Coturnix japonica: one gene and its partners. The protein of the gene in region 4 interacts with the protein of the main gene of each other region in a pairwise test. Links are inferred from orthologs where the notes say so. Each region holds a gene or a part of one and is shown on either strand. Other genes may lie near its edges.

Evidence for each region.
Region 1: the proteins of EEF1A1 (region 4) and LAMTOR5 interact in a two-hybrid assay, tested with the Homo sapiens proteins (2 studies listed by BioGRID and IntAct). The link is inferred for Coturnix japonica from reciprocal best matches to the Homo sapiens genes EEF1A1 and LAMTOR5.
Region 2: the proteins of EEF1A1 (region 4) and HSPE1 interact in a two-hybrid assay, tested with the Homo sapiens proteins (2 studies listed by BioGRID and IntAct, with this or other methods). The link is inferred for Coturnix japonica from reciprocal best matches to the Homo sapiens genes EEF1A1 and HSPE1.
Region 3: the proteins of EEF1A1 (region 4) and GADD45G interact in a two-hybrid assay, tested with the Homo sapiens proteins (2 studies listed by BioGRID and IntAct). The link is inferred for Coturnix japonica from reciprocal best matches to the Homo sapiens genes EEF1A1 and GADD45G.

Annotation. Positions count from the first base shown.
Region 1 is NC_029541.1:1,787,798-1,793,425, forward strand, and holds LAMTOR5 (ragulator complex protein LAMTOR5), read right to left. Parts: upstream 3,574-5,628; 5' UTR 3,474-3,573; coding exon 3,439-3,473; intron 3,328-3,438; coding exon 3,266-3,327; intron 1,697-3,265; coding exon 1,579-1,696; intron 1,150-1,578; coding exon 1,089-1,149; 3' UTR 802-1,088; downstream 1-801. UniProt on the Homo sapiens protein: As part of the Ragulator complex it is involved in amino acid sensing and activation of mTORC1, a signaling complex promoting cell growth in response to growth factors, energy levels, and amino acids.
Region 2 is NC_029522.1:4,179-9,955, reverse strand, and holds HSPE1 (10 kDa heat shock protein, mitochondrial), read left to right. Parts: upstream 1-2,184; 5' UTR 2,185-2,355; coding exon 2,356-2,358; intron 2,359-4,004; coding exon 4,005-4,169; intron 4,170-4,924; coding exon 4,925-5,014; intron 5,015-5,221; coding exon 5,222-5,272; 3' UTR 5,273-5,578; downstream 5,579-5,777. Other genes in the region: HSPD1 (60 kDa heat shock protein, mitochondrial), read right to left, coding at 1,155-1,328. UniProt on the Homo sapiens protein: Co-chaperonin implicated in mitochondrial protein import and macromolecular assembly. Together with Hsp60, facilitates the correct folding of imported proteins.
Region 3 is NC_029547.1:39,082,089-39,087,055, forward strand, and holds GADD45G (growth arrest and DNA damage-inducible protein GADD45 gamma), read left to right. Parts: upstream 1-1,800; 5' UTR 1,801-2,026; coding exon 2,027-2,079; intron 2,080-2,156; coding exon 2,157-2,258; intron 2,259-2,346; coding exon 2,347-2,560; intron 2,561-2,803; coding exon 2,804-2,914; 3' UTR 2,915-3,496; downstream 3,497-4,967. UniProt on the Homo sapiens protein: Involved in the regulation of growth and apoptosis. Mediates activation of stress-responsive MTK1/MEKK4 MAPKKK.
Region 4 is NC_029518.1:74,351,966-74,357,529, forward strand, and holds the start of EEF1A1 (elongation factor 1-alpha 1), read left to right. Parts: upstream 1-2,130; 5' UTR 2,131-2,259; intron 2,260-3,004; 5' UTR 3,005-3,051; coding exon 3,052-3,195; intron 3,196-4,210; coding exon 4,211-4,390; intron 4,391-4,519; coding exon 4,520-4,816; intron 4,817-5,080; coding exon 5,081-5,231; intron 5,232-5,373; coding exon 5,374-5,564. UniProt on the Homo sapiens protein: Translation elongation factor that catalyzes the GTP-dependent binding of aminoacyl-tRNA (aa-tRNA) to the A-site of ribosomes during the elongation phase of protein synthesis.

The DNA of each region.
Region 1 (5,628 bases), on a different chromosome or scaffold from region 4:
CCAGGGCTTGTTAATGGGAGAGCTGAGTGCTCACAGCCCTTTAACTTTTGCTCTTATAGGAGCCCATGGCTATTTATTGGGGCTATTTAAAATGGGCGTCTGCACTCTGTTTTGAGGAGATGAGCTTGGAAACTGAGCATTAAAGAAAATAAAGGGGAGGTAAATGATGGGCATGATGTAGCACTGCTCACCTCCATTAGCACCAACCTCACCATGAGAGCGCTGTGCAGAGCAGCCCATCCTTAGAGCCTGCTACATACATAACAGTGATGGTGAGGTCAGGAATGTCTGTTTTACACAGTGAATGCAGTTTTAGCTCCAACCCTGCCCTATCTGTTGGTCTATGCTCTGCAGTGAAGCCTCCTTTCTGCTCCACGTATGAGGCCAGCTCCTGTCTGCTCCCTTGTGCTGCGGAAGCATTCGAGCAAAGCAGCTTTTCAGGGCCTTTCTATGGGATTGTTCTGCCCAGTTCCAAATGCTCAAACCTCTAAAGGGAAGAGAGGATTCGCGGGGATGTCATCAGCATCCGTTCACAGTTCACACGAGGGCCAACAAGTTGAGGTTTGAACTTCAATCCGAAGCATAATAATAAGCTGCTCTCACTGAAAGCTTAACCAGAGGAGGCTAAACATTTCCTAGGAGAATAGAGAACTATTTGTATCTCTTCTACTGGAGGGACCTCCAAGTCTTGGTCCCTTTTCTCTGCAGCAATGCCAATGAAGAATCAGACTGGGAGAAGTCCCTCCAATTGGCTTTAGGGAAAGCAATGGGCTTTCACAGTAGGATCAAAGAGAAGCAACAGTTTTTGCAGGTCATTTATTGATTTCTCCAACAAATAAGGCCACGCACACACACACACACCTTGTAGTATCTATCATTACACAAGCTTGGTGAGTGACTCACGTCTTTAACAGCACGACTGCTAAAACGTGAGCTGGAAACCCTGATAGATGCATAGGAGCTGGTAAGTAGAGAGGGAGAGCCTTCAGCCCAGATTTGGTACTAGAAGCGTGTTCTGCATTGGAACAGCCAAGGAGAATGAGGAGGAGCTGGTCTGGAGCAGGGAATGGAGCATCAGGATGCCACGGTCAGGATGCCAACTTGTGCACTGCTACGGTGATGCTGTCATGCTTCTGGATCATGATGTTCCTAGAGCAAGGAAAGTGCTGTCAGAGGAAGGTGAGAAACCAGCTGGGAGAGCAGGAGCTGACTTGGCTGGGAAACCAGATGGGCAGCTCAGTGCCAGACCTGTCAGCTGTTCCCACAAAGGGGGATGATGGAGTCCTGCTGACCAAAACGACACTACAGCATGGGCTAAATAATCCATGGGGATCCAAAAAGCAAAAGAAATACAGTGCTGCAGCAACCACCAGCCCCTGAAAGGCTTCCAGCTGCTTCTGCAGTTCCCAAAGCCTGAGGTCCCATGAATCTGACTTCTTTTCATACCCCCCTCCCAACACAGCTTCAGCAATGGGGCTTCCTCCAGCTCTGCCAGTGAAATAGAAGATGGAGAGCTCTGCTCTGGAGATTTGGGGTGGGGAAAAAGGGAAGAGCAGCAGCCTTGGGCTGGATGCTCACCCACTGTCTGACTCCAGGCACACCACAGGAGTGTCGGTTGGGTCGGAGGTGAGCTTGGCTGCCTGCTGGGCCAGCACAGAGATGACTCCAGCATGTTCATCTGAGAGCGTTCCTCGGCCTGCAAGAGGGGAGATGTGGGTTGAACTCACGCACACCGTGATGGGAGGCAGCTCCCCATCCCCACTTCCTTCCCTTATTGCTGTAAGCTGATGTAGTACCTCCCCAGATCAAAGAATCACATGAGTTGGTAGGGACATATAAAGGCCATCAGCCCAACCCCCCTGCAATGAACAGGGACACCCATAGCTCCAGCAGATGCTCACAGCCCCCATCCCTGACTTCCAGTGTCTCCAGGGCCAGAGCACCCACATCTAGCTAGGGGCAACCTGTGCTGGTGCTTCTATGGGAGTCCATTGGGGTTCTATGGGGGGGTCCATAAGGGGTTCTATGCGGGGTCCACAGGGGCTCTACAGGGGGTCCACAGGGGTTTCTATGGAGGGTCATAAGGGTTCTATGGGGGGGGGGTCCCAAAGGGGGTCCATAGGGGTTCTATGGGGGGTCCACAGGGGTTCTATGCAGGGGGGTCCACAGGGGTTCTATGCAGGGGGGTCCACAGGGGTTCTATGGGGGGGGTCCAAGGGGTTCTATGGGGGGGTTCTTTGGGGGTATGCATCCAGACACGCATTGCGATGCGTGAGTTTCTATGGGGGGTTCTATGGGGGTTCCAATACGGGGTTCTATGGGGGGGTAATAGGGGTTCGTAATGGGGGGTCCACAGGGATTCTATGGGTCTGGGGTTCTATGTGGGGGGGTCACAGGGGTTCTACTGGGGGTGGGGTCCACAGGGGTTCTATGGGGGGGGTTCTATGGGGTGTCCACAGGGGTTCTATGGGGGGTCCATAGGGGTTCTATGGGGGGGTCAATAGGGTTCTATGGGGGGGTCCATAGGGTTATATGGGGGGGGTCCATAGGGTTATATGGGGAGGGGGTCCATAGGGGTTTCTACTGGGTGGGGTCCCAAAGGGGTTCTATGCCAGGGGGGCACAGGGTTTCTAAGGGGGGGGGGGGGGGGTTTTTTTTTTTTATCTATGGGGGTCATAGGGGTTCTAATGGGGGGTCACCAAGGGGTTCTATCCAGGGGGGTCCACAGGGGTTCTGTGGTTTGGGGGGGGGTTCTAATGAGGGGGTCCACAGGGGTTTCTATGGGGGGTGTCGCACAGTGGTTATATGGTGGACAGGAAGTTCTATACGGGGTCCATAGGGGTCTTATACTGGGGGGGTCATAGGGGGTTTACTAGGGGGGTCCATAGGGGTTCTACGCGGGGGGGTCCACAGGGGTTCTATGCGGGACAGGGATTCTATAGGGGTCCATAGGGGTTCTATGAGGGTCCACAGGGGGTCCATAGGGGTTCTATGGGGGGTCCATAAGGGTTCTATGGGGGACAGGGGTTCTATGCGGGGTCCACAGGGGTCCTATAGGGGGGTCCATAGGGGTTCTATGCGGGGGGGTCCACAGGGGTTCTATGGGGGACAGGGGTTCTATAGGGGTCCATAGGGGTCCTATGGGGGGGGTCCATAGGGGTCCATAGGGGGTCCATAGGGGCTCTATGGGGGTCTATAGGGGCTCTATGTGTGTCCCCATGCCCACCCCTAACCCAGGCCCTGCCCTGGTCGCTCCCATACTCACACCCCAGGTTGAGGCCTTGCGAGTCGGTGCACAGGACTCCCACCACGGCCGGGTTCTTCATGCTGCGGGAGAAGCGGCGGTCAGCCCGGCCTACACCCAGCCCCCAGCCCGCGGCCTTGCCTTCCTTCCCCCCCCCAGCCCCTCGGTCCCGCCGCCCCCATCCCGGTCCGTACGTGTCCTCCAGGTGCTGCTCCAGGCTCCCCTCCATGCCGCCCCCCTGTCGCCTTCACTTCCGCCCTTCTCGGCGGCTCCTGGCAGCTGCGTCGGTCATGTGATGCACGCTACGGTGGCTCCGCAGGGCCAAAAAGCGAAGCCAATGTACGGGAACCGCCCTGAGCAGCACCGGTATGTTCCCATTGGGCAACCACTGGTCAACCATTGGTCAACCATTGGTCAACTAGTAGTCAACCACTGGTCAACTGCTGGTCAACCATTGGTCAACCACTAGCCAACCACCGGTCAACTGCTGGTCAACCATTGGTCAACCATTGGTCAATCATTGGTCAACCATTGGTCAACTGCTGGTCAACCACTGGTCAACCATTGGTCAACCACTGTTAACCACTAGTCAACTGTTGGTCAACTGCTGGTCAACCATTGTCAACCACTGGTCAACTGCTGGTCAACCACTGGTCAACCATTAATCAATCATTGGTCAGCCACTAGTCAACCACCGGTCAACCGCTGGTCAACCATTGGTCAACCACTGGTCAACCACTGGTCAACTGTTGGTCAACCATTGGTCAACCACTGGTCAACCATTGGTCAACTGCTGGTCAACCATTGGTCAACTAGTAGTCAGCCACTAGTCAACTGCTGGTCAACCATTAGCCAACCACAAGTCAACTGCTGGGCAAGCACTGGTCAACCAGAAGCCAACCACTAGTCAACAGCTGGTCAACCATTGGTTAACCATTAGTCAACCACTGGTCAATGAGGACCTACAGGTACCACTAAGTCCAACTCCCTCCACCCAACCCCTATGGTTTTGGGTGCCCCTGCCCTGTGGAGCTGTGCCATGCCCACCTCCCTCTGGTGCTCAGCCTTTTCCTAACACCCATCCTGTCCATCCCAACACAGCTCCATACCTTTCTTTATGCCCTGTATTTGTCCCCAAAGAGCTGTAAGGGCCCCACACCCACTCCCACAGAGGACGTGGGGCTGTAGTGTTGTATCACAGCCATTCGTGCCCTGCTTTCAGTGTGCAGGAGGTGATGGATGGCAGAGCCATCAGAGCCTGAGACTGATGGCTGAAACGCATCCAGCTCAGCCCTGGCAATGGATCTTATCATGTCAGGCTGGAAAATTAAAATGTTATTGATGGGGGAAGTGAAATGCAGTGGTGATTTTTCTTAGTTTTATTTCTCTTTCAATTTTTTTCCCCTTCTTGATTGAGTTGGAATCGTCACCAGTCACTCCAATCCCATTGCATCCCCCCCATACTGGATATCCTGCCTGTCCCAGAGCTCCATTTTGGGTTATTTTCACCCTCCTTTGTGGGGGGGAACACAGGAATAAGATACAGCTGTGCCCTATTAAGGTTGAATCCCCCCCATACATACACACACAGGGACCCCAGAATCCCAGCTGATGGCCCATTCCCTGCAGTGAGGCTTTAGGACGGAGGAATTTCTGAGGACTGGGAGAAATTAATTCAAGACCAGGTGGAGACTTCAGCAAAGCAGGAGAACAGCTGCCACTTCAAAGGGGACGCTGGCCTTTGGAGGGGGAAATAGCCGGGCTATTTTTAGGCAATTAAATAGATAATTTAACATGGGATTGATGCTGTGCAAGAGAAATTCTGCTGTCAGAGACAGCAGGAAGCAAAGCTGTTCTGCTGTTTGGCAGCCTGGATGTTACAGGGATGGTGCCTTGAAGTCCAGGGCTGGAGAGATTCCATTCAGTGGGTCAATATCAGTAATGCTCCTTCAATAGAGACTTACTTCGAGCCCTTGTGTAAAGGAGCATTGCCACCTCCTGGGCACACATGGCACTGGGCAATGGGAACCCAGGCTGGGCCATGGGAGCACAGGACAAGCACCAGCCACAGCTGTGTATTTCTATGGATTCATGAAGCTTTCTCCATGCAGAGCTCTGTCCCTCACACCCTCCCACAATGTGTAAATAAAAGCAGATGCTGACGGTTCATCCTCTCCTGTTTTTAAGCTCTAGCAATCCCTGCTCTTGTTTCCATGTGCTCCCAACAGACGCTCCAGATTCAATCAGACCCATAGAGAGGGGGGACACACTCAGGATATCCCACTATCCTATGAAGCACCAATTGAGTCATTTACACATCATGTACCATCCACGACGGCCCTTTATATCTATCTCCTTTTAGCTCCAGAACTGCTAATTCTCAA
Region 2 (5,777 bases), on a different chromosome or scaffold from region 4:
GGCCCTGCATATCAAGGACTACAGTGACAAAGCAATGGGCCTGTTGGCAGCAATGTCAAAAGATTGTGCAAAACTGGAAATCATGCTCCTTTAAATATGAATGAGTGCAGAAGGGAAGTTTCCTCATAAGTCTGGTATTTCTTCAACATGCTGGAGGCTGTATCAGGAGGTGTTACAGAACCATCAATCTCTACAAATACCTGGAGACCAGCAGATGCACTGAGTGCAAATGAACAAGGATTCCATGAGGTTGCACTACGTTGCATCAGGATGTGCCCTTTAACCAGCACATTAAAGCCAAGCTCAGGCATTCACAATGCAGCCTAAGCCCAAACCAAGCGTTAAATCAGCTGATGACACTGCAGCCTCTTATTGAGAGCTGTTCTTATGGAAAGCAGCCAGAGATTGCTGACATCGCTGCTCCTCAACCTTAACTGTGTCCAGTTAATGACACTTGGAGCATGTGAAGCTCCAAAGGTGTGCATAGGAGAAATAATTTAATAGGTACCAAGCAGCCTTGAGAAGATTAACAGATAACAGGTCTGAAATCATAGAGAAATCACTATCTGAACCTGATTTGGAACAAACATTGCTACAGATGTGAAGTAAAAAGGCATCTGCTCCTTTAGCAGGAGCCTCATTTTGTGTTGTATGACTGTGCGGAACACAGCAGCTCATTTTCTTGCAGAGGTTCCCAAACTGCACTGCACCCTACAAGCAATAGATGCCCCTGCCATGGATTTTCCATCAAGGTTAAAGCATTTCAGAGCTGGCTGCAAGCTCAGCATTACGCCTTGAGTGTTTCCACTTTGCTGCTGGTAGGAGATGAAAGGATACAAAGCTGTAATTTGGCCCGATAATAAATAAGCGCTAATGTAACTGTTCCCTTTGGAAGGAGTTAATTATCTACCACGCCGTTAGGGGCAGTAACTCGAGCCAACACGCGGTCGCCCCCTTGCCGTCCTTAGTGCCTAAAGGAAGGCAGGCGCCCCTCACAGGGAGCAGCGGCCCGTCCTCCTTTGTGCCCACGGGATCGATGTGAACATGGCCACGCAGCTCTACCCACGTGCAAGTAACGGGACTCCACGCACACTATCGTCGCCTATCGCCACGTTTTAAGGCACGCCCGCAATAGCAGCCCGTCCCGCCGTTACCTTGGGCCCCATGGTGACGGCTACGGCATCTGCCAGCAGATCCACCCCCTGCAGCATCAGGGCCCGCGCGTCCGCCCCGAACTTCACATCCTTGGCGTAGGCCCGAGTCAGGTGCGGGGCGAGCGCTCGGGATACCGGCCTGATCTGGCGGAGTACGGCGGGCAAACGGAGCATGTCTGGGGGGTAAAACCCGATGTTAAAGCCATACAGATTTAAAGCAGCACATGGTCCGCCCGCAGGCCGCGCTCGGAGCCACATGCCCACCCGTCCCCACAGCAGGACGCGCCGCAAGGTCAGAGCCCGCCGCCCCCTGCCGGCCACAATGCAGCCGGCCGCAACACAACGGGGCTGTGAGGAGCCATAGCAGGGCTGCACACATATACACACACACACACACACACACACACCGGACCAGGCGTGCAATGGGAGCAAGGCCGCCCAAGTCAGCACGCGGCGCTCCCTCAGCACCACCACATCGCTGTGAGGAGCGGCCCGCCCCAGCACAGCACGGCTCAGCACAGCTCCGCACGGCACAGCACAGCTCAGCTCGGCTCCCCACTGACCTGCGTTGTGCCGGCGGCGCGTCCCGTAGCGCTGTGTGTGCGTTCTCAGCTCTCCGCTCCGCACGGCGCTCAGGGCGGCGCGCACTCACACACTCACACACTCCCTCACATGGCCCCGCCCCCGCCGGGCACACACTCATGCGGCCGAGCCCCGCAACCTGCATAGCGTCTGGGTCCGCCCATAGAGGAAAAAAGGATCTAGGCGTACGGCGCGCTCTGCGCATGTGCAGGAGGCTCCGAGCATGAATCACCCATGTTCCGGGGCTCGCCAATTCCAGAACCTTCTGGAATGCCCATGCTCGCCCCGGGTCAGAGGGCGGCTGACTTCACTTCCGGGTGGCAGCACCACCCCGGTCCCGGCCCGGCCCCGAACCGAACCGCCACAGCACCGAGACACACAGCGACACACCGGGACACACAGCGACACACCGGGACACACAGCGACACACCGGGACACACACCGGGACACACACCGACACCGGGACGGCGGATAACGGAGCCGCGGCACCGGGCGGCACGGCTGGGGGCGGGGCGGGGCCAGGAGCCAGGGTCGGCGGCTGCGCATGCGCACGGGGTGACCTTCCTCACGTGTGCTTGGAGCGGCGCGGTCACTCGGAGCGGAGCGGGACGGAGCCGCCATGGTGAGTGAGTGTGTGAGTGAGTGTGTGAGTGAGTGTATGTGTGTGTGTGTGCATGTGCCCCCACAGCCGGCACCGCGATTGACCACACGCTCGGCCGCGGCCCCGTGTTCCCGGCCCTGCGCTCCTGCGTGGGGCTGTGCCCGCTGCTGCGCCCCGCCCGTCCGCAGGGCAGTAGGCCGCACTATGGGGGTGTCGGCAGCTTGGTGCTGCTGGAGGGTAATTGATGGTGATTGATGGTGATTGATGCGGCCGGTGGGGCTGTGGGGGGATGGAGGCAGGCAGGGATAGAGCGGGTGAGCCCTTCGTTGCAGTCCTGCCTTAGCGCCCTATGGACGCTCGGTTAGACCGGCCCGGAGCTGGGAGTGGGTTTGCAAGGTCACCGAGTCCTTGGGGGCTGCGTTGGGGGCCGCAGGAGCGGGAGGGAAAACGGAGCTGCTGGTGCTGTGCTCTGTAAGCTGCTCCCATCCAGGGCTTCTCTGCAGGAGCCCTAAGGGCACAGCTGTCCTTGTACCTGCGTCAGTGTATCGTTATTAAGATCCTTATAAAATTAGGAAACGTAAAGTGGCCAGCGCTGGAAAGGACCACGATGATCATCTCGTTGGTGAGAGCAGGCAGAAGGACACAGTGTTACCTGAAGCTTAGGCACAAAGTGGCAGCATTCTGCGTTCTGATTGCAGTTGAACAGAACGTTTGGTTTCAGGGAATCTAAAGAGAAAGAGATCAGCACTGGTATTTTCTTAGAATGAACATCATCCCGGTTCACAGTCATTTCCATGTCTTGCATCATTCCAGTAATAGCAGTTTAGCTGGGGATGCATCTCTCACACGTTGCCTACAGCTTCGTTTCCCCCTAGTTTTAAAGCTCCAGTGCTGATCAGTGTCAGTGGAGGGTGCCCAGCTGCCAGGCTGCTTCTAGCCATTTCAGTGAGCCCAGGGTACCTGCCTTGCATCACACTGTCTCCATGTGGCTTGGCAAGGCTCCATAGCTTTCCTCCTAAACCACAGCAAATTCCTTTTCCTGCCCCTGCTTAGCAGGGTGCTGTGCTTGCCTTCATCTCCTGTGTGGGAGCTGGAGTGCTGCTTCCATTCCAACTAACAGCAGTCTTCATTTGGACTTCAGACTTGATTAATTCTCTTACATCACCTGAAATGCCATGCCTTTAAACTGCCCAAAAAAGACAGGCACCAGCTACAGGCCTAGACTGACAGTTTGTTACTATAAAATACTCTGCTACGGTGAATGAAAACGCAGCTGCCCTCAGTCTTGACTGAGTTCTGTCTTTGTGATCACCGAGCTGTTCTCAGTGAGCCGCTGTTCTCAGTGAGCCGTACTAAGTAACGGTTTAGGATTAGCCACATGTGGCTCCTGCTCCACCTGCTGGAGGCTCATTCCCTCAGCTGGAGCGAGGAGCCTTAAGGGCACAGAGTGCCCAGTGTGAGCAGCTTGGGAGTGAGCTGCTTCTGAAGAGCTTGAAGCAGTCATAGCACAGCTCTGCAATGCAATCACAGGTGGTATAATTCGCTTCTATGGAAAAGAAGTGCTCAACTTTCTTCTTGTTCTCTGACACCCACTTAGTTGTGGGTTTTCTTGCTTTAGATGCGCTTTTGTTCATCTGTTTTTCCTTTAACGTTGTGCCCCTTCACAGGCAGGAAAAGCATTTAGGAAGTTCCTTCCCCTGTTTGATCGCGTTCTGGTTGAACGATGCGCAGCAGAGACTGTAACCAAAGGAGGCATCATGATTCCAGAAAAAGCTCAAGGGAAAGTGCTGCAAGCAACAGTGGTAGCAGTTGGATCTGGAGCCAGAGGGAAGGTAAGAGTCTGATTGAAGCATCAGCTTGAGCAGCTGGAAAGTGGTAGCAGGAAAGGGATGGCTGCAGAGTACGTTGAATCATATAGCACAAAAACTGAGAGGGGTGATTGAAGGTGGAAGTGCAGGTTCAAAGAAGAGGTAGAAGGTTTCAGTTCCCCTGCCTGGCTCTGGCCTTGAATTCCAGTCTTCCTTTGAACATCTGCAAAATGGAAAATGCTTGCTTTTTGAAACCAGCTATTGATAAGCATCCTTAAACAGTGAATGGTTACGTGCTTTTCTTTGTTGTTCTGCACGTGGCGTTCGCTGTCTTGTCCAAAAAATCATTGCCCATAAGAGTTGGGCTTAATGTACAACAAAAAATCAGGACTTGGTAGAAATAAATGCCAGTTGAGCTTGCTTAAGCTTTGACTGTTGAAGATCCTGAAGGAGACCTTTTAATGTCTTTTCACCTTCTTAAAATGCCCGTGGTTAGTGGCTTTGCTACTGGAGGATCTTTCCCCCATCTAAATAGTGGTCAGTTAGTCTCAATGGCAGAAAGCAGGTTAACGTTTAACTTGAGTGTGTTGACTCAGACTTTGCCTGTGAGTCTCTCCAAAGATATCGTGGGGTTTCTTTTTGTCTCTGTGTCTGCTTTTCAAAGCAGGATATTGCAAAGTGGTTCTATTATTTGACTTGTTTGCAGTATGGAGCAATTGTGCCATTACCTTTCCATTGAACTGGAGTAAAATGAAGGGTGTTTATTTTCTTCCTTTCAGGATGGTGAGATTCATCCAGTGAGTGTCAAAGTTGGTGAAAAGGTTTTGCTACCAGAATACGGTGGTACCAAGATCGTGCTAGAAGATAAGGTATGTTCTCCTGTTTTGTGGATGTAAAATGACCTGGATTCTATAATGTCACACAGTTAGCAGTAAATATTGTATGTAATATGTGAGCTGTGGTCAGCTCACTCCCAGTTTAGTACTTTATGATGTGTGGCAGCCTTCAGTACCAGATGTTATCTGCACAACAGCTGATCAAAGGAGTTTTGACGCTATTATTTCTTATACTTGCAGGACTACTACTTGTTTAGAGACGGTGACATCCTTGGAAAATACCTGGACTGAAGCTGGTGCAGTATCCGTCATCCATTCCACTAAGATTCTGAAATGCTTTCTTTCATCGTGTAAATAACGCCCTTTATTTTATAATAAGCAGGCATCGAGTCTCTGAAGTAACTTGTGATCTCACTGTAATGATGGAACAGAAATAAAAAGTATGTACAGTCAGAAATGGGTTGCTCTTGCTTGAGTTCCACTCAGTGACATGCAGATGACCACCATCCAGCCTTAATTATTCCAAAGAACATCATTTTATACCCTTATCTGTGTACTGGAATTGTAAAGGCCTTTACAATAAATTTCTAAAACCTTGCTGCTTCTGTCTCAGTTTCTGCTACTGCTCTGTGAAACTGAGTAGCACTTGTGTCATGTCCTTAAGTCAGATTGAAAGCGGTTATTACACAGAGACAGTAGCTTTGTCCCACCTCAAACTTGATCTGAAGTAACAGATTCTTTTGGACTTAATTTCCAGTAATAGCTACTGGTAGATGACAAGATGTTTGGTACAGGG
Region 3 (4,967 bases), on a different chromosome or scaffold from region 4:
GGAAGAGCAGTTTGTTACCAGGTATTCAGGAGTACAACCTAGCTGCAGTTCTGTCTGCTTTTTCTTGCTGTACTCTTTGCCACTGCTGTAATTGAACACTGAATACCTCTTTCCCCACTACTCTGCACCTGACTTACTTAGGAGCTGTTTTAAGGGCTTTCTTCATGCAGAAAATACTTCTTTTTTTTTTTTTTTCCTATTTTTCTTCTCCTCTAGGCTTTCACAAAAAACACTCATGATATGAGAATAGGCAAGGCATCCATGTGAGGGCCCAGCTGTTTGTTGCAGCCCTAATATTTTCGATGTCTAGCAGAGGTCAGGGATTTTCTGTGGATGTGACCACCACCCGGGACTGAGTGGTGCTCAGCCATGTGCTGACAAATAACACAAGGCTGCAGGGTGGCCTTCCGTGCTACTGCTACTGTAGCAGCTGGCCAATTTAATGGCAAAATGTGCTTCATGGTGCCTGCGTGGCACTGATGTGTGGTGGGCCCACCCTGATACTGAATGACCTGAAGCACTCAGCAGCAGAGCTACCCAGGACGTGGTGCTGTCAGTTCTCCACCAGACAAAAGAACTGTCTGCAGCACAGAGTCTGCTGGAGTCTGTGGCTGCAGGGCACTGGGCTTGTGGGCAGAAATGGGAATTTGTGTGTTAAAGGTCTGTGGCTGCACACTGGGGCTGCTCTGAAATTAATGCCTCCCATTTTGTCAGCCCATGACATCAGAGGTGGAAGGTGGTAGTAGAGGTTGGACCTTCCCACCAACACTGCATTGCATTTTGTTGCTATGTGACAGCAGAGGGGCAGTCTGACAGAACAGTGTCTGACATGGAAGTGTGTATGGAGCAAAGCTGTGTCACTGAATTCCTCCATGCTGAAAAAATGGCACCTATCGACATTCATAGATGTTTGCTTATAGAGACCAAACAGTGGATGTGATCACAGTAAGGCAGTAGGTGGTGTGTTTCAGCAGTGGTGACAGTGATAGGTGGGTCATCTATCATAAAATCACAGAATGCTTCGAGCTGGAAGGGACCACAAAAGCCATCCAGTTCCAATCCCATGGGCAGTTTGTCAACCACCAGATCAGACTGCCCAAGGCCCCACCCATCTGGCCTTGAATGTCTCCAAGGATGGGGCATCTAGACCTTCTCTGAGCAAGGTCAGCTGGCGTAGATGTTTACGAACATGAGATGAAGGCTCTTGTTCACTGCTGGTGAAAATGAAAAGCTAAAGATGGTGACTATTGAAAATATGTGTTTTGAAGCTGAGAATTTGCTCCATCAAACAGTGCTATTGCACTCTTTGTTGTAATTTCTACGGAAATAAAGAGGAGTGACCTATGTACCTGGAAGAACAGATTAAGGTGATGCACACTGACCCCGTAGCAGCAGCTCAAGTCATGCCATTTAAGGGAGTGCAGCAGGTAGCAATGCAGACTTTCAAGCTGAGAATGCCTTTGAGCACTCATAGAATCACAATGGCTGCAAAAGACCTGAGATCACCAAGCCCCACCGCCAACCCACCCCCACCACGAGCACTAACCCAAGTCCCTCAACGCTTCATTCACACGATTAATGAACACCGCCAGAGATGGTGACTCCCCCACCTCCCGAGCAGCCTCAGCACAACTGTTAAGAAGGAACCCTCCTACCCCAGCATCCCCAAGGCAGCAGCACGGTGCCACGCAGCAGCTGTGGGCCCCCTCCCGGCACACGCCTTCCCCGTGCCCGCGGATCACGCCACCACGCCGCGGCCGTGGCCGCCCTCCCTGCGCCACCACGTGTCCCCCCGGCACGAGCCGCCCCCACCTCCCGCCCGGCGTGCGGCCATTAGCATGACAAAGCGCTCCCCCGGCTCCCCGTCCGCCAATGGGAACGCACCGGCCGCCGCCAGCTGCCAGCGCCGGAGCTCCGCGGGCTTAAAAGGAGCAGGAGCCGCTGGAGCTGCGGCAGGACGTGGGTATTGGGTTGTTGGGAGGAGCTGGGGGTTATCGGTGACAGCGCTGCTTGGCGACACGCTGCTATGACTCTGGAAGAGGCGCAAGGACAGGAGCCGGTGCCCGCGGGCAAGGACTGGTAGGCGGTTGGCTGGGAGGTGGGGTGGCCGTTGTCCGGGCGCTGGTGACGTGCTGACCGCTCTCTCCGGCTTCCAGGATGCAGGGCGCCGGCAAGGCCCTCCACGAGCTGCTGGTGTCGGCGCAGCGCCGCGGCTGCCTCACTGCCGGCGTCTACGAGTCGGCCAAGCTTATGAACGTGTGAGTGGGGTGAGGGGGGGCGGGCAGCGCGAGTGGGGCGAGGGGCAAGGAAGCCCTACTAGGGCCTAACGGTGCTCGCCACCCGCAGGGACCCAGATAACGTGGCGTTCTGCGTGCTGGCGGCCGATGAGGAGGACGAGGGGGACATCGCCCTACAGATCCACTTCACCCTCATCCAGGCCTTCTGTTGCGAGAATGACATCGACATCGTGCGTGTGAACGACCTACCCAAGCTGGCTGCTGCCGTGGGATCCAACGAAGAGTCTGGTGAGCCCAGAGACCTGCACTGCATCCTCATTACGGTGCGTGGCTGGGACTGGGAGGGATGGAGCTCTGTGGGCTGGCCGGGCTTAGCCCTTGGGGTGCAGAACTGCTGAGATACAGGGGGCGGTGCTTCTGTAAAGGGGGTTTCACTGCCACCCACATTGGTGACAGCTCAGCTTCCTGCTCTTTGTCTCTGAAAATGCTTTGCTTTTTAAGCTAGTGCTTCTGTAAAATAATACTGTGACTTTGTGCACTCATGGTGTGCGATGCTTTTCTACCAGAACTCAAATGAAGATGGCTGGAAGGATCCAGCTTTAGAGAAGCTGAACTGCTTCTGTGAAGAAAGCCGGAACGTCAATGAGTGGGTGCCAACTATTGTCTTACCTGAGTGACTATGGCCTGGCATGCTGGGGAGGCTGAAACCTCTGTTGCATTCTCAACGTGGTGTTGGTTCACCGAAGTGTGCAACAAGCTGCTGATTCCATGGATTAGCCTGGTCAAGGGACTGGATTACAGTCACTCAGACTGGCATGCTGTGGGCTCTTACAGAGGAGAAAGGAAAAGAATAGCTCACCTCATCAGTGGGTGTCAGTAGACTGCAGCTGTGTGGAAGATAATGTACTATGGAACTGAAACGAGTATTGCAAGTTTCCTGGTCAAGTGGATCTGTTTCAGAAAGCAGAGAAAGTTAGGGGAAGTGGTCCAAAACTTCACAGGATTGAACAGTACTGTGACTATAAGCTGTTGGTGCTGTCTACAAAACATGAAGAGAAGCAAGCTTCAGTACTTCTTGGACTTTTAGAGACTAATTATCAAGGCAAATACAGACACTCTTAAAGCAGACAGACTTCAACAGGCCTCTGGGCCAGTGTACTGGTTTAATAATGCAATAGTTTTTTTGTTTTTTTGTTGTTTTTTTTTTTTTTAAACGTTTGCTGCTATGGAAGCTTTCATAATAAATTTTTGACACTTAATTTCTGTGAGTATCTGGCTTACTGGGTGGGGAAGCATGTCACTGCAATACCACTGCTGCTTTGCTCATGTACTGTAGTCAAAGGTATACTCAACAGTAATAGGGATGTTGCTCACATGCTTTCTCTCTGGGCCCAGCTGGATCACAAGTGTGCTTCCCAAGTTGATAATCCAGCTTTTCACCCTCTGCAACAGCTTGCGAGACTAAAGAGCTGCATACTTAATGAGCTCATTTATTGTAGTATGTTGTCTTTGCGGTCTGCTAGGGGATCACAGTCCATGCTAGAAACATGGATACTGGGAACACGAATCTCCAGTAAATAGCATCATTACATGTTAAATGAGTTACTCATTTGGAGCTATAGAGGTTTCTACATGGCAGAAGCAGCTCAAATGTGATGGTGACCTGAAGGTCTCCTTAGATGTCAAATACATGTAGTGTTTACTTTGATTAGACTTAGTTAGTTAGACCAAAAACTAATAGTGAATAAACATGACATTTGCTATGAACTGCTCTCTGAATCCTGTATGCTCCAGCAATGGAAGCTGTCACTCCAGCACATGTAACAGCTAAAGTGTAGCAGAAAAAAGTGTGCCTGATTTGCTGTCTGACCATACATACTAACAGTTGTACTGAGTAGGAAGCTTAGCCTCCTGTTTTTTTGGAGGAAACATGCTGCACAACAAGCAATGAAACTGATGAAGCAGCACTTGTGAGATGCTGCCCTTGATGCTTTAGAGAATGGGGGGGATGACTTTGCCCCCCCCTCAGTTGTCCTCTGCAGTTGTGAACTGCGTCTCCTGAGACATACACAGCTCCCATAAAATTCCTGAAATTCCTCCTGGCTCAGTGCGGAGTTTACCACACATAGTATTAAGCTCAGGCTGAAAATCTTATTAGTATGGTGTTACAATCAAAGCATCTGTAACTGGAAGTTATGTGCTGTTACAGATATATCTAATATCACAGCAGCTGGTATCAGGTAAAAGTGGGCTTCATCTTTAGGTGCTCTGGTGTATAATGCTGAAAGAAGCAATGAAACAGATGCAGCAAGCTTGGGATGAGTCACTAGGTGCCTGCCCCTCCTGTGCAGGGGACAGAAACATCAGGTGCCTGGGAGCACTTTGCCAGCACTTCTTGCCCAGAAGATGATACAGTGGCAGGGACAATGGCACCGAGGGCCTGCAGGTTTGGTGGACTGTAAAGCAACATCCTAGCCTTGCCACAGGGCCTTAACATGGGCTGGCTCACCCAGACAGGTGACATGGGCTGACACCACATGTTTCTGAGGTTAATAATTGTTATTAATAAAGAGGGTTCAGAAGTGGCACTACAGGGTGACAGAGCTTCTGGTACTGCTTTGAGAACCCTGCCTTTTGTCAAGCCTCTGCCACAGCTTCATCACCACTGCAGTCATACACATTTCTCTTGCACAGTCAGTACTTCTGGAGTACAGTTTCTCTTGCATAGTG
Region 4 (5,564 bases):
AATCAGTTTGATCTCCGCATGTAGTTAATATTTATGTTCCAAAGTTAGAATGTTTGGCCTAGATATACTGACAGCATGACTTCATTTTCATATCATCTGATCTGAGATTCAAAGCCTTTAAAGAAAAAGTGGTAGTTACTGCATAGGCTTCTACAAATGCTGTAGAGAATACTTGTATTTATGGATTCTTGCACTTCAGGTGTGTAACCCACCTATTTCTGCTGGGTTTAATAAGCACTGCTTCAAAGCCTGAATGATGGGGCATTCTGGAGATCTTATATCTGCTGCTTCATCAGCTTTTCATATCAAAGAGATTCGTTTTGCCATATTAGCAACATTTTTAATTCCTTCGAGGTTATTTGCATACGGGCTTTTGGCCTGTGTTAGCTGAGAGGATAGTTCAGAAGGCATTCGCACCGAACAATGTGAGGATACTCACATATCTGAAGGTCCCCAGCTGTATAAATATTTACAGGATTGATAATAGGAATGTTCTGCTAATAGAATGGAGGAAAGATGCGCCAGTTATCGAGAGAATAAAAGCATCTATTTGATTGTAGAGGAAATGGTAAAAACTCCTTTGAAAATCCAATTAAAGAAGCACGGGGAAAGGAACGACTGCTGAAGACTTAACTAGGGCATGGTTAGAAGGTTATCCAACAACTCGGCAGGCTTTCAGCTGTGAATATACCAACGAAACTGCTGTCCTAAGAAATGCATGCTTCCATATGCCTTTATTTATGGAAGCCTTTTAAATACATCCCATAACTGTGCAGTTTCTTATGGGCCGCGTAAGAAATCAGTAACACATTTCCTTTCTCCTCCCCCTGCTGAGGTGCAAGTGGCTGAATGTTTTCAACTATGCTTTAGCAGAACAGATACTTGGACAAACTTATCCATCTAAAAACACCCCCACTGACAGGCATTGCAGAAGCTAAACTAGAAACCATCCTGTAGAATAAAGCTTCGTGGACATGTTTACAGCCTTGGTTTTACAGATGTGGTGTGCTCAGCTTTCTTACTAGTTATTGACCCTTACTCCTCAGCCTGAGCCATGAAAAGTCACTTAATGAAGATGCTGGTACTCTGCCTTCATAGCAAATGCCTTCAGTGATTTAACACCTAGATGTGAGCTATAGTTATATATTGGTGGGTATGGCCCGCGGTGCTGGAGTTCAAGGAGCATTTGGATGCTGCTCTCAGACGTGTGGAGCCAGGAGTGGGACGCGGTGATCCCTGGGGCTGCCTTCCAACTCAGCATGTTCTGTGGAGCCCCTGCCAACAATTGAATGGGATTACAGTTGAGTACACGTAAGTAACTGTAACATGGGTGCATTACATTCTCTTAGAAGAAGAAAACAGATCCTTTTAACCCAGACTGCCCAGGGAGGTTGTGGATGCCCCGTCCTTGGAGGTGTTCAAGGCCAGGATGGATGGGGCCCTGGGCAACCTGATCTAGTAAATGTGTATGTTTGGTGGCCCTGCCAGGCAGGGGGTGATCCTTGAGGTCCCTTCCAAACCAGGTCGTTCTGTGATTAAAGGAATAAAGTATTTGTTTCCCTTCTGGGGTTAATTTCCCACTAGAAAGCCATACAGGTGTTTTACACGAGTACACCCTGCTGGAATCACGAGGGCTTTCAGTGCTGGTGCCCCCGTTTCAGAAGCCAAAGGCTGGGGCTGCCAGCACCTTTGGTGACTCTCATGGGGCACCTGTCAGCCGGGAATGTACGGCATGGGGGCACTCGGGGCAGTTTGGAGCTCTCAAGCAGAAGCCCCGAATTGATGCTGAAGCGAATCTCCTTGGCCCTGTGTGAAACGCGAGGCCACCGGGGATCTCTGCTAGTCTGCAAGTTCCCACCCCGCAGCTCGCTGTCCGCGTCCCCTCGGGCCGCAGTCTCGGGCCTGAGGCGGAGCTCGGCGACTCTATGGCTGCCGTGCCGAGGGGGAGGCGGCGGAGCGGCACCTCCATCCCGGCTGGCCGCGCTCCAGGCGATGCCGTTCAGCATTGGGGCAGCGAGTCCCGACCGGCCGCCACTCGGCCCGGCTCCCCCGGGGCTGGGATCCGCACCCCGCCCCTCCCCGCCGCCCCCAGGGGAGCACGGCGTGCGGCGCTGCCGGGCGGGGCTTAGCGCGGGGCTTAGCGCTGGGCCCGCCGGGAGCCGTGACGCGGCGCCGAGGCCCCGCCCCGTGGCAGGGTATATAAGGGGCGGCGCTCACGCCGTCGTTCTTTTCCGCTCCGGGTTTGCCGACGCCGTGCGGGTGAGGAGCGTGCGGCGGGGCGGGCCGGGCCCGGGGGTGGGGGGAGCGGGGATGCTGGGGGTGCGTGGATGTACCGTGAGCGGGGGGTTGAGGCGCCGCCGTGCAGCGGTGCGTGGGGATGGCGGAGCGGGGGGATGGCGAGATAAGGGGCGGATGGGGGAAGCGGGGCGAGCGGCGGCGTAACGCCGACGTGTCCCATCCGAGGGCTCACGCGAGGCAGCGCCGCGATGAGCACATGGGGCCGCACCGCCGCTTCGGCTTCTTGCGGAGCCGCCTGGCGCTGCTGTGCGGCGTGCGGTGCTCGGCCGTACGCGGGTGGCGGCCGGGGATGGCGGGGCCGCGCCGTCGGTGTGGGCGATGGGGGAAGGGAAGGCCGGGGCACGAGAAAAAAAATGGCCGCCCGCTCTTCCTGCCGCCGTCAGCTCACAAAATGGAGGACGGCGGCCCGGGCGGGGTGAGTCACACACAAAGGAGAGGGGCGGCCCCGCCCTCCGCGCCGCCCCGCGCCGCCGCCCCAGCACGGCCCGGCCCGGCCGCCATGCGGGGAGGGGGCGACGGAGGAGGGGGGCGAGCCGGAGGGGACACGGGCCGCCAACACCGCCCGCCTCTCCCCGCTGCTCGACTCCCCCCTCCCATCCCCCGGTGGGGCGGGGCCGAGCCTACACGGGCCCTCTGCCCCCTGCGGGCGGCGCTGCTGCGGGACGGGGGCGGCCGCTGTAACCGGGATTCCTTCTGGAACTTTCAGGTGTCGTTTCTCTTTGGCCGGAAGAAAGAAGCTAAAGACCATCCGAAATGGGAAAGGAGAAGACTCACATTAACATCGTCGTCATCGGCCACGTCGATTCCGGCAAGTCCACCACCACCGGGCACCTCATCTACAAATGTGGTGGCATCGACAAGAGGACCATCGAGAAGTTCGAGAAGGAGGCGGCCGAGGTGTGTGAGGCAGCCGTGTGGTGGGAGACTGGGGGGAATAAGGGGCAAAAGGAAGGAAACCAGAACGTTTTACTACCACAAGGAGGCGGTTGGGTCGAGATTGTCCTGGTAATTGAACTAGAGTACTCAATCTGTTATGTTAAGGTGAAGTCATCGAAGCATAGAATAAAGAGCATGAAGCTAAATCTGAACGCTTAGAATCAAAATGGGAGCTCCCATCTTCATTCTCGGCCTGGATTGAGAATTACAGAATCGTTAATGTTGGAGAAGACCTTGAAACTCCAACTATCAGCCCATCCCCACCATGGCCACTAACCATGTCCCTCAGTGCCACGTCAGCAGGTTTCTTGGACACTTCAAGGGTAGTGACTCCACCATCTCTGTGCACAGCCTGTTTCAATGCATTGCTGCTCTTATGGAGTAGGAATTACTCCTAATATCCAATCTGGACCTCCCCTGGCACAGCTTTAGACTGTTGTCTCATGTCATCTTGTAGTTTAGTTGAAAATGTAATGATCAGCCTTGTCTCAAGGTGGGAGAGTCTAAGGTACCATTATGTGAACCTGTGGAAGTATTCCAGTTTTCCTTTGTTTTGTTTTAGTGATAAAATAGCACCTCGTAAGCACATGATAAAAGGAAATGCAGTGAATGCTGGGCTGTGTGGCTGTTAAAATACCAACTGGAGCAGGGATGGCATTAGTAACTAAGCTAAAATTTGTAGTGGACACTTGATAGTAGGACTAAGCCTTAAGAGATCCATCATAAAGATGTGTTAGCACAATTAACAAGTTGTCAAGAGGGCTGAAGTGTCAGCAGGTTAAATGACAGAGCAGTTGGCATATCTTGGTAGTAGTGCCAAGTGAACCTAGGCCAGAGTTTTATGAGCAACAGCAGCTTTCAGTGTAAGTCACTCCCTATTAATAACTTTGCTCGTTAGTGTGTATTTCATGGTCTTGGTGAGGTAAATGAAAATATATATCTTGAGGGGTTTTTTTTTCCTGTTTCAAACCCATAGATGGGCAAAGGTTCCTTCAAATACGCCTGGGTCTTGGACAAGCTCAAGGCTGAGCGTGAGCGTGGTATCACTATTGATATTTCCCTGTGGAAATTTGAAACAAGCAAGTACTACGTCACCATCATCGACGCTCCTGGACACAGAGACTTCATTAAGAACATGATCACTGGAACTTCTCAGGTAAGGAAATAAAGGATGTGGGGAGTTGAGGGAAGCTGCTCCTTGGCTGGTTTACAGCAGGGAAATTGCCCATGTGCTTTAGTGTGCGTGTAGGCTTTCTAACAAGGGCTTTTTTCTACCTTTTCAAAGGCTGATTGTGCTGTCCTGATTGTTGCTGCTGGTGTTGGTGAGTTCGAGGCCGGTATTTCCAAGAACGGGCAGACCCGCGAGCACGCTCTTCTGGCCTACACCCTGGGTGTGAAACAGCTGATCGTTGGTGTTAACAAGATGGATTCCACTGAGCCCGCTTACAGCCAGAAGAGATACGAAGAGATCGTCAAGGAAGTCAGCACTTACATCAAGAAAATTGGCTACAACCCAGACACTGTAGCTTTTGTGCCAATCTCTGGTTGGAACGGGGACAACATGCTGGAGCCCAGCTCTAACGTAGGTTTCCCTGTTTTCCTTTTTAATATTAGGAAATGGAACTAGCAGGATCATTAAGATAAGTTAAACAATAGTTAAATACGTGGGTTTGGGTTTTTTCAGTAGTAGTATTTTGAAATGTTGGGGTCAGTGTGAAATCCTAGTGCTTTATGAATTGTTATTCTGCAGTAATGAAGATGATGCAAGGAGTTAGGCCAGTTGTTTCATAGCTTCGTTCTATTAACATGGGCAGATGACTGACGGTTGGGGGCTGTTTTGTTACAGATGCCCTGGTTCAAGGGATGGAAGGTTACCCGCAAAGACGGCAATGCCAGTGGAACCACCCTCCTGGAAGCCTTGGACTGCATCCTGCCTCCAACTCGTCCAACTGACAAACCTCTGCGTCTGCCTCTTCAAGATGTCTACAAAATTGGTGGTATGTGTTCACCACAGTGCTTGTGTATGGGACAGAATTGCTAGTGTTTGCTTGGGAACTTGAGTGTGAAACTCCTGCCTGAAATGTTTTTCTCTGTAAGCATATACTGGACTTAACTGGCTTTCTGTGTTCACTTCTGTAGGCATTGGTACTGTACCAGTTGGCCGTGTGGAAACTGGTGTCCTGAAGCCAGGCATGGTTGTCACATTTGCCCCCGTTAATGTTACAACTGAAGTAAAATCTGTTGAGATGCACCATGAGGCCCTTAGCGAAGCTCTGCCTGGTGATAACGTTGGTTTCAACGTTAAGAACGTGTCTGTGAAAGATGTCCGC